2 linked regions of the Cricetulus griseus genome follow. The protein of the gene in region 1 interacts with the protein of each later gene in a biochemical or structural test. Links are inferred from orthologs where the notes say so. Each region holds a gene or a part of one and is shown in the gene's direction. Other genes may lie near its edges.

Region 1 (4,392 bases):
TATATTGTATTTAATAAATTTAAATTAAAAAAATAGCTTTGAAGATAAAACACTACCACATCTCTGCATCCACTCACCTATGTTCCTTATCCTTTCTGCCTAAACTACCTGCTGCTTCTAGTCACTTTATCACCCTGAATTTGAGTTTTCACTTGCCTTTTAGAGTTTGTTGTTTTCTTTAAAAAGCTATTATGGTACATCTTGTTTTATTGCTGTAAAGAGACACTGTGACTATAATAACTTTTATAAAACATTTAATTGGGGCTAGCTTACAGTTTCAGAGGTTTAGTCCATTATCATCAGGGCTGGAAGTGTGGTGGGGTGCAGGCAGACATGGTGCTGGAAAAGTAGCTGGATGTTCTGCATCTCGTTCACGGGCAGCAGGAAGAGAGACTCTAGGATTGGGATGGGCTTTTTGAAATCTCAAAGCCCACCCCCAGTGACATACTTCCTCTAACAAGGCTACACCTACTCCTTTCAAATAGTTCATAATTGAGCCTTGTTGTCTAACTATACTCCCCTTTATTTAGTGTACTCCATTGTTTGAAAGCCCTGTAACTATCCATTCCCCTGTCAGTTGGCATTTAAATCCCTAAGGACAGTGCCATGGTGAACAACCATGCCATTTGATTTGTAAATACACCAGGTAGACTTTGATACATATTAATAGACCTGGGCCTCTGAGAAAACATAATTATCAGAAACACTTAGGTGAAAGTTCTCAACTCTAGTATAATTGACATTGAGTGCAGCCCTCCTGTGCATTGTACAGTGTTGAGCATTGTCCCCAGCCTCTGCACCACTAGATGCCACTAGCCCTGAGAGGGTTATATGTCCAGTTACCCTCTGTTCAGAGCCAGGTCTGGGTTGAAAGGAGGACTGTGATGGGAATAATATACTCCAAATGCATGTTTCCATGGCAGGAATGAGTCAGCTGTCTAGTAGCATCCTCAAGCCTAGCTTGTTTACGTTGCACGGGTGCTGGAAGATGCAAAGAATAGCAAGTCTTGGCATTACAAAGCCTTTTCTGAAATAAGTGGTTGGTTTTCGATCAGAGTTTATTCTCATTAACTTTAGCATCTCTCCCCTCATTTTGTTTGGAGTGTTAAAAGGGAAGCCCCCAGTTGTAAATGGAAGGTTCACAATGATTGTGGTTAGAATACAAAGTAATTGGTTTCATCCTGGCTTCTTTGTACATATGTGCCATTGTACATTTTTTTTATTTGCTGTTTTTTAAGATGGTTTCACTGTATATCCCATGTTGGCTTTGCCCAGGCAATCATCTTTAGTGCTGATTATGGAGTAATGAAATTCTGCCTTTTTGACAATTTTTAAAATTTTTCTTTTGTGTTTCTGCTACCATGGAGAAGCATATTTAAAGACATGCTGTGTGTAGGTATTACTTGACCACCATGTAAACTATTTCTACTTTGTATGAAAGAATTCCTAGGATTTTATTTATAAATGTCATTTTTTAACATATATTAAAATGGTGCTCAAAAGATGGCTCAACAGTTAAGAGTATGCATTGGTCTTTCAGAGGACCCAGGTTCAGTTCCTGATATGTTGGGCAGCTCTCAACATCATATAACTCCAATACAGGTAGCCACATAACCCCAACACAGACATACACACATGTACATAATTCACAATAATAAAAGTAAATCTTTAGAAAAAATGTATGTAGTTCATAGAAACTAACCAACTATAGGTGATAATTGGTATGCAAGGTGAGTTGCTAGGGGTTTCTTATGGAGAACTAAAGTTATATATGCCAATTTCCAGCGTGAGAAGACAGTTGAAGTGAAGAAAAGTAAATCCTGTGAAGCCGATGTCTCCAGCGACCTTCGAAAAGAAGTCGAAGACCTTTATAAGCTTTCCCTGCCTGAAGATTTCTATCACTTCTGGAAGTTCTGTGAAGACCTTGATCCTGAAAAGCCAGCTGGTGAGTTCCTTTGTGCTTCTGTGACTGGAAGAGATGATAGGACACTGGAGGAAAGACAGAACCAACTCATAGAGAAAGGGGATTGCAATCAGGTATGGTGACACATGCCTATTACAGTCTCCGAAATTAGGACACTGGTTTGAGAGTTTAACGAGTTTCAGGCCAGCCTGGGCTACACAGTGAGATCATATCAAAAAAAGAAGACAGAGGAACATTCCCACAGTTTGTAATGAGAGCTATGTTGTCAAAGAAACAAATTAATACTTAACTGTAGTCAGTTTTTATGGCTGTGACCTGAGAAAAACAGCCTGGCAGGAAGACAGAGTTATTTGGAGTCATGGTTTTAAAGGTTCCTGACCCTGGTTAGTTGACTTTCTTGTTTGGGGGCCTGTGATATGTTATGCCAGAGGGATGTGTTGGGAAACTTGTGTACATCTTGGCAAACAGAAAGCAAAGAACATTAGGGTGCAAGAATCATAGGATAGGATGGAACCCTTCAAGTCATTGACCACTTCCTCCGGCCAGACCTTACCTCCTACTGGCCAGGTCACTTCTCAGTAATGTCACTAGCTGGGGCCCATGCTTTCAGTACATGAGCCTTTTTAGTTTAACGTCATACTCAAACCATAATGCTATAATATGCTACTGTCACCTATTGGCAAAGGCAATCGGTTTCAGGATATTCCTCCATGTACGTGTAAAGGAAAATTAGCAGTTGCATAAACTTGTCTTATAGACTAAGTAAACTAAGAATTTTCTTCAAGGATATTTACTGAGGGGTGGAGGGCTTAATGCTTGATTGTATCCTTCCTAGAAAAGCTGCAGGCACTGTGAGATTATCAGTTTGCACATCTGCACAGCCTTCATGGCACTGTGGTTTTCTTACTCTGCCCCCATGGTTGTGAAAACAGATGGAGTCATTGAGTGTTATGGTCCACAGTGTAGCTGAAAGTCAACAGAACCTGGAGTGCCCACTGAGGAGAAGGAAAGAAAATGGTTTTTTCTATCGTTGACCTATGTTGTCTCCCCCATAATCTGTGTATTTGTAGCTAATAGTGGATAGCAGTGAGGCAAGGGAAATGTGTGGCTCTTAGGCCTAAAAGAATGCAGAGCAGCTTGGCTTGGGCTACATGAGGGACAGGAATGTTTCAAATGTTAAGCTACTTCAGTAGTAGGTTTAGAGGGAATTCTAAATTTAGTGCCACATTTCTGTTAAACATTCTTCCATTGAGCAAAAACACTTTTACAGATTTTAAAAGCATTCTTTAAAACAACTTGCTTAAGAATTATTTGGAATCAGGAGGCAGGGGGAAGTGAACCTCTCATTTTGAGGCCAGCCTGGTCTACACGGTAAATTCCATAACAGCCAGGGCTACACAGAAAAACCCTGTCTCAAAATAAGAGAAAAAAAAAAAAAGTGATGAAAGGCATTATTTCCTACTTGCCTCTAGAAAGTGTTGCCTGAGTAAACTTATTTTCCTTATAGATGCACTTGCCACAAGCCTTGGACTTCGGTTAGTGGGTCCCTATGATATCCTTGCTGGGAAACATAAAATGAAGACAAAATCCACAGGCTTGAACTGTAATCTTCACTGGAGGTTTTACTATGACCCTCCTGAGTTCCAGACCATTATTATTGGAGATAATAAAACTCAGTACCACATGGGGTATTTCAGGTAAAAGATCATCTCTCTCTCTCAAATACAGCTGCTTTGGTATCAATGAGTCTTCCAGCCCTTCACTGGCATCCCCAAGGAAAGACTTGTTTCCTCTTATGGTGGCTCTGTGGTTTACCTATTGTTCTGGCTATCCTTCACCTCTGTAGCCTGCCTAGGCTGGTGAACTCTTTACATTAATCTTCCCTGATCTCTTTTTCTCTTCCAATATAAAGTTTTGTCCTTTGGGGATCAGAAGAGCTTGTTTGAAGCCCAAATAAGATGATGTAAACCAGTTGTTTGACTTAAACCATGCACTTCCAGGGGCCAAAGGACTCAAAAGATTGGTCCTGCCATTTATTATCTTGATGAGGGTATGCCAGTCAGTGGTGACTGTGGTCTTTCTGTGACTCAGTTTCTTAAAATTACAGAGATAATAGCATATATTTGATAGGAATATTATGAGAATGAAGGGAATGCCCGCAGATAGGTAAACTGTTAGCAGATAGGGTAATGTGAAAAATAGCTTGTGCACATGTAGCAGTAGTCCTGTGTTGTAAAGTCAAAGTGAAGTAATAGAAGAAAAGATGAGTCATGGCTACAGAGAAGTACTGTACAGAACACTCGTGGGGCTGAGAATGGGGTCAGATGGATTTTGTTCTTGGTTTTGACACTAATTGGCTGCTAGAACCTTAGCCAAGAATCTACTGGTTTCTTCAATTTTAAAATAAAATATACATGAATAAGATTCTTCAATTTTTTTTATAATCTGTCTTGTTTATTTTTGGCTTT
Region 2 (4,576 bases), on another chromosome or scaffold:
TATATTTTTCTTATGCTTTTTCTGCCTTTATTTTTTATTCTTTTGTTTTGTTTTTCTGAGAGGGTTTCTCTGTGTAGCCCTGGCTGTCCCGGAATTCACACTGTAGATCAGGCTAGCCTTAAATTCAGAAATAGGCATGCCTCTTTCTCCAGAGTCCACAATTAAAAGCGATCAGCACCACACACACACTTTATTTTCTTTAATGAGCTTTGGGGTTTGTGTGTGTCGGTGGTGGCATGTGTACATATCACTTGTGATTTTTATTTATCTTTTAATTGTCTGTTTTCTAAATCAAGAGCAAGAAGGCATGGAGTTGCCGGGCATTGGTGGCGCGCGCCTTTAATTCCAGCATTTGGGAGCCAGAGGCAGGCGGATCTCTGTGAGTTGGAGACCAGCCTGGTCTACAAGAGCTAGTTCCAGGACAGCCTCCAAAGCCACAAAAGAAGCCCTGTCTCGAAAAACCAAAAAAAAAAAAAAAAAAAAAAGAAGGTGTGGAGTTGGATGGGTGAGTGGGGAGATGGGGAGGTGGGGAGAATCTGGGAAGAGATGAGGGATGGGAAACCATAATCAAAATTTTTATTTTTGAGTATTGGTCATTAGTTAATCTGAGGTATCTACACATGAGTCAAGTCACAGCTTCTGACCTTGGTAGGAAAGCCTGGCTTACAATGAACCCTGCTCCACTCCCATTTCAAACGCTTCTCCTAGCTCGTGCTCCTAGCTCGGCTCTGCTCTTTTCCTTGGTGAGGAATCCCCCAGCCTGTTCTTCTATGGGACTACAAGCTACAGGTTCACTTTTGCTTTTGATATGTACATATAATATATATATATAATTTATTCTTAATTGCAAGCTACATGCATAAGCTACATCTATTTTTTTTCTAAAGCCATAATATATATGGTCATGATGTCCAACTCTCTTCTAAATATTTGTTTTATGGGGGTTTACTTGGTTTCTTTCAAGACGGTTTCTCTGGCTTTGGAGGCTGTCCTGGAACTAGCTAAATATTTTAGTAAAATTGTACTAAATATCTGTTGTAATCGCAGATTTGCGCAGCTCTCAGGGAGTAGTTAAATGCACAGTTAAAAATGAGTAAAACAGAATTGAGATTTGGAAGAAAACATAGAAATATAAAAGGGCAGGGGAGAGTAGTCTGAATTGGGTTATGAGGTCCGCGAGGTACCTCACCTCAGCCATTGAACTCGATCTGCGCTGGCCGTGAGTCTGTTCCAAGCTCCGGCGAGGGAGGCATCCGCCCGCTCGGGGGCCTCTCCTGCCCAGTCTGCCCACGCGTGGAGCCCTGCTCTCTGGGAACTCACCTCCCCGCTCGGGGAGGGCCCGGTTAGGGCCGCGGGAGGCCCCAGTCTCAGACCTTCCCAGGGGCCGGGGAGTGACGAGCACTCAGCACGTGGCCCCGCTGATGAGCTTCCTCCGCCCACTACAGCCTGGTGAATGGCGGGCTTTATAAGGCTCCGGAGAGAAAGCGCTTTCTCAGTTATGGTGGTTTCCCACAAGGCACAGCGCACACTTTATTTGCATGCGATCTAGCGCAGGCTCCCGCTCCAGACAAGAAGCCCGCGCTTTTCGGCTGCTTATGATGACGTCGGGCCTCAAGCGCCATGGCGCCGCGGCGGCGGAGATCCAGCTGCAGGAGGCGAGGTGAGAACCGTGTCCGCAGAGTCAGAGGGAACAGCTCGTCTTTTCATTCTACAGTTCAATCCGAAGAGGCGTGTGGAGCCGTAACAGCAGACATAACTGCCAAGTACTGTTACTCACTAATGCCATGCAATTAAAAGAAGGTCTTCGTTATTGAGTGTAGCACTGCCAAAGGATAAACGCGTATAGGAAAGTGATTAACTACTTATGTCAAACTTTTAAAGATACAGCCGAGTTCAGAAAGTAAAATTCAGATCTCGGAATTGTTGGCTGTGGATTGCATACTGTGTTCTTAATTGTATCCTATTAAGTTACATACTATTGGTGTGGTCTCATTTTTACATTTCTTACAGCTGAGGTATGACCAACTCCAGGGTTCTGAAGCTTCAATAAGCTGGCTGTAAACTGGTCCAGACTGTAGAACACCTTATTGACCATGATCACATGATCTAGTTTGAAATAAGGTATGGAAGACCAAAGGTTAGCAGGCCCATGCCACAAGTAATGAACTTCGAACATCTCTGTACATTTATTTTTTTCCTGTTTTTTGTTAATATATGGTCAGGAGAGCACTTTAGGAAGGATTGCTTGGATTGTTTCAAGAGTAGTGAGTGGTGTGGCATTTATTTGTAAACGTCCAAAAGAACATCTTAAATTATTTCTTAAAAAATTATTTAATCTTTGAATATTATAAATATATATATATATATATATATATATATATATACATATATATATATATATATATCAAGTGTGTGTGTGCCTGGAGGCCAGAAGGAGGCGTTGGATACCCTGGAACTGGGGTTACTGACCCCAGTTGTGTCCCACCATGTGAGTGATGGGACTTGAACCCAAATCCCCTGACCCATCTTTCCAGCCCCCTTAAGTTCTTTCTTCAGAATTTGTTAGAACGGTGGGTGTATTGGCCCATTTAATCCTAGCCCTTGGGAGGGGCAGAGGCAGGAGGATCTCTGTGAGTTCCAGGATAGCCAGGGCTATGTAGACAGACACTATCTCAAAGTTAAAGAAAAGAAATTGTCAGAGGGCTAGAGAGTTGGATTGTGCTTTTTAAAAGCACTTGTTGCTCTTGAAGAGGACCTGGGTTCAATTCCAAACACCCACGTGGTTGGTCATAGCCACCTTACCAGATTTTATGCCTTCTTCTGACCTCCAGGTACACCAGGCATTCATGTAGTACACATGCATAATTGCAAACAAAACATCCATACATGTAAAAATAAAATCATAACCCCCCCCCTTTTTTCTTATTGTCAGCATATTCAAGGAAAGGGACACAACTCTGGTATCCCTGGCTGCAACCAAAGTTTTTTTCAGAGACCTCCACTCAGGCAAATTCTTTTGCTTAAATTAGAAATAAAAGAAGAGGCGCAGGATGAGACATGAGATGAGACATATTAACCAGTTTATTCTAGGCCCGACAGAGTAAAGAGACTAAGAGGGAAGAGGAACAGGGTTAATGGCTGACCGCTATGGCTGGTTGCCAAAGAGAGAGAGGCAGAGAGAAGAGACTGAGGGGCAGAGAGAGCGTAGGTGGGAAAGGAGAAGAGAGAGGAGCAGAGAGAGCATAAGTGGGCAGGAGTCTGTCTTTTAAAGGGGTCCTTTACACCTGCGTGCAGACTTAGTTCCCATGGAACCCTGAGCTGACCAGCATACTGCCTGAGTGGATTCCACCAGGTAACAGTGGCAGACCAGCATAATGCCTGACCTTTCACTCTTGGCTTTAAGGTAGAAAGGAATTTCAGGAGTATGCAAGATGAACCAGAGTTGGGAGTTTATTAAAAGAGATACTAGCATACATTTTAAGCACAAGGGTTAGAAGAAAAGAAATACCTGAGAAGAAAGACACCACAGAACATGCGTGTGGGCTTCTCTAAGAGGAGTTGCCCTTCTTTATAATAGAGATGTATGCAAGAGTTGTTAAAGAATTTAAATAAGATTGTATTTCCCGAGGTGGGTCTGACAGAATTACAATGTCAAAATCTAGATCATAAGGGATGCAGGAAGTTAGGTTTTTCTTCATGTAAACAATGTTCATCGTCTGTTTAAGATTTCCATAGAATGGGAGAGAAATGAGCCCAACCCCATTGCCATATATATCTAGGCGGTAAGCCCAATTGATTGTCATTTTAACATAAAAAATATTTGAGTATCTAGGTCAGCAATCTTCACAGCACATGTTAATTTTGCTGGAATTCTTGCTTCTCAGACTCTAGAGTGAGGGGTTCCTTATATTTTCCTCCTAACTTTTCCTGGTTTTTTTTTTTTTATTTTGCTTCGGTGTTGTTTACTTATTAGATCATCTTCTGTAGTAATTCTTTGCTTGTTGATCTTGCCTTTAGCTTCTGAGGTGCTAAATGAAGCCAAGAAAGTTAATAATGGCAGCAAAGCAACAGAAGACTTTCCTCCTGGCAAGAAAATGCGTACATGCCAGAGAAAGGGGCCTACGGCTGGAGGAAAGGATGCAGACAGGACAAACAGCCAGCAAGGTAACAGGCCAGGCAGCTCTCGGGCCTCTGAAGGAAGTGGGATGATATTTCTTCCTCTTTGAAGATATAATTAATTTCTGTATCATTTAGGCATTCTGCAGTACCAGTATACTTTGTCGAATCCTTTATTTTCATAGATTTGAGATGGATTACAACCTAGGCAGAAGACCCAGATTACTCAGGAAGGGCAAAGTTAATTATGACAGCTTTCAAGCCAAGACAGCCCTCTTGATTCCCACATAAGTACCAACAGTGCGCATTTCTGTTCCCTCAGACACGGTGAAGGCCTTGCTGATAAAGGGCAAAGCTCCTGTGGACCCAGAGTGTACAGCCAAGGTGGGAAAGGTAAAAGCATCGGGAACGGAAAGCGGAGTTCTTTTGTTTTCATGAGTCCTGTCTAAAATATTGCTAG

The links.
Region 2: the proteins of histone PARylation factor 1 (region 1) and Parp2 form a complex in vitro, tested with the Homo sapiens proteins (2 studies listed by BioGRID). The link is inferred for Cricetulus griseus from reciprocal best matches to the Homo sapiens genes HPF1 and PARP2.

What each region holds. Positions count from the first base shown.
Region 1 is NW_023276806.1:238,645,572-238,649,963, forward strand, and holds the start of histone PARylation factor 1, read left to right. Parts: upstream 1-1,503; coding exon 1,504-1,521; intron 1,522-1,785; coding exon 1,786-1,945; intron 1,946-3,431; coding exon 3,432-3,621; intron 3,622-4,392. UniProt on the Homo sapiens protein: Cofactor for serine ADP-ribosylation that confers serine specificity on PARP1 and PARP2 and plays a key role in DNA damage response.
Region 2 is NW_023276807.1:206,468,764-206,473,339, forward strand, and holds the start of Parp2 (poly [ADP-ribose] polymerase 2), read left to right. Parts: upstream 1-1,534; 5' UTR 1,535-1,620; coding exon 1,621-1,660; intron 1,661-2,010; exon of another isoform or gene 2,011-2,121; intron 2,122-4,017; coding exon 4,018-4,164; intron 4,165-4,438; coding exon 4,439-4,509; intron 4,510-4,576. UniProt on the Homo sapiens protein: Poly-ADP-ribosyltransferase that mediates poly-ADP-ribosylation of proteins and plays a key role in DNA repair.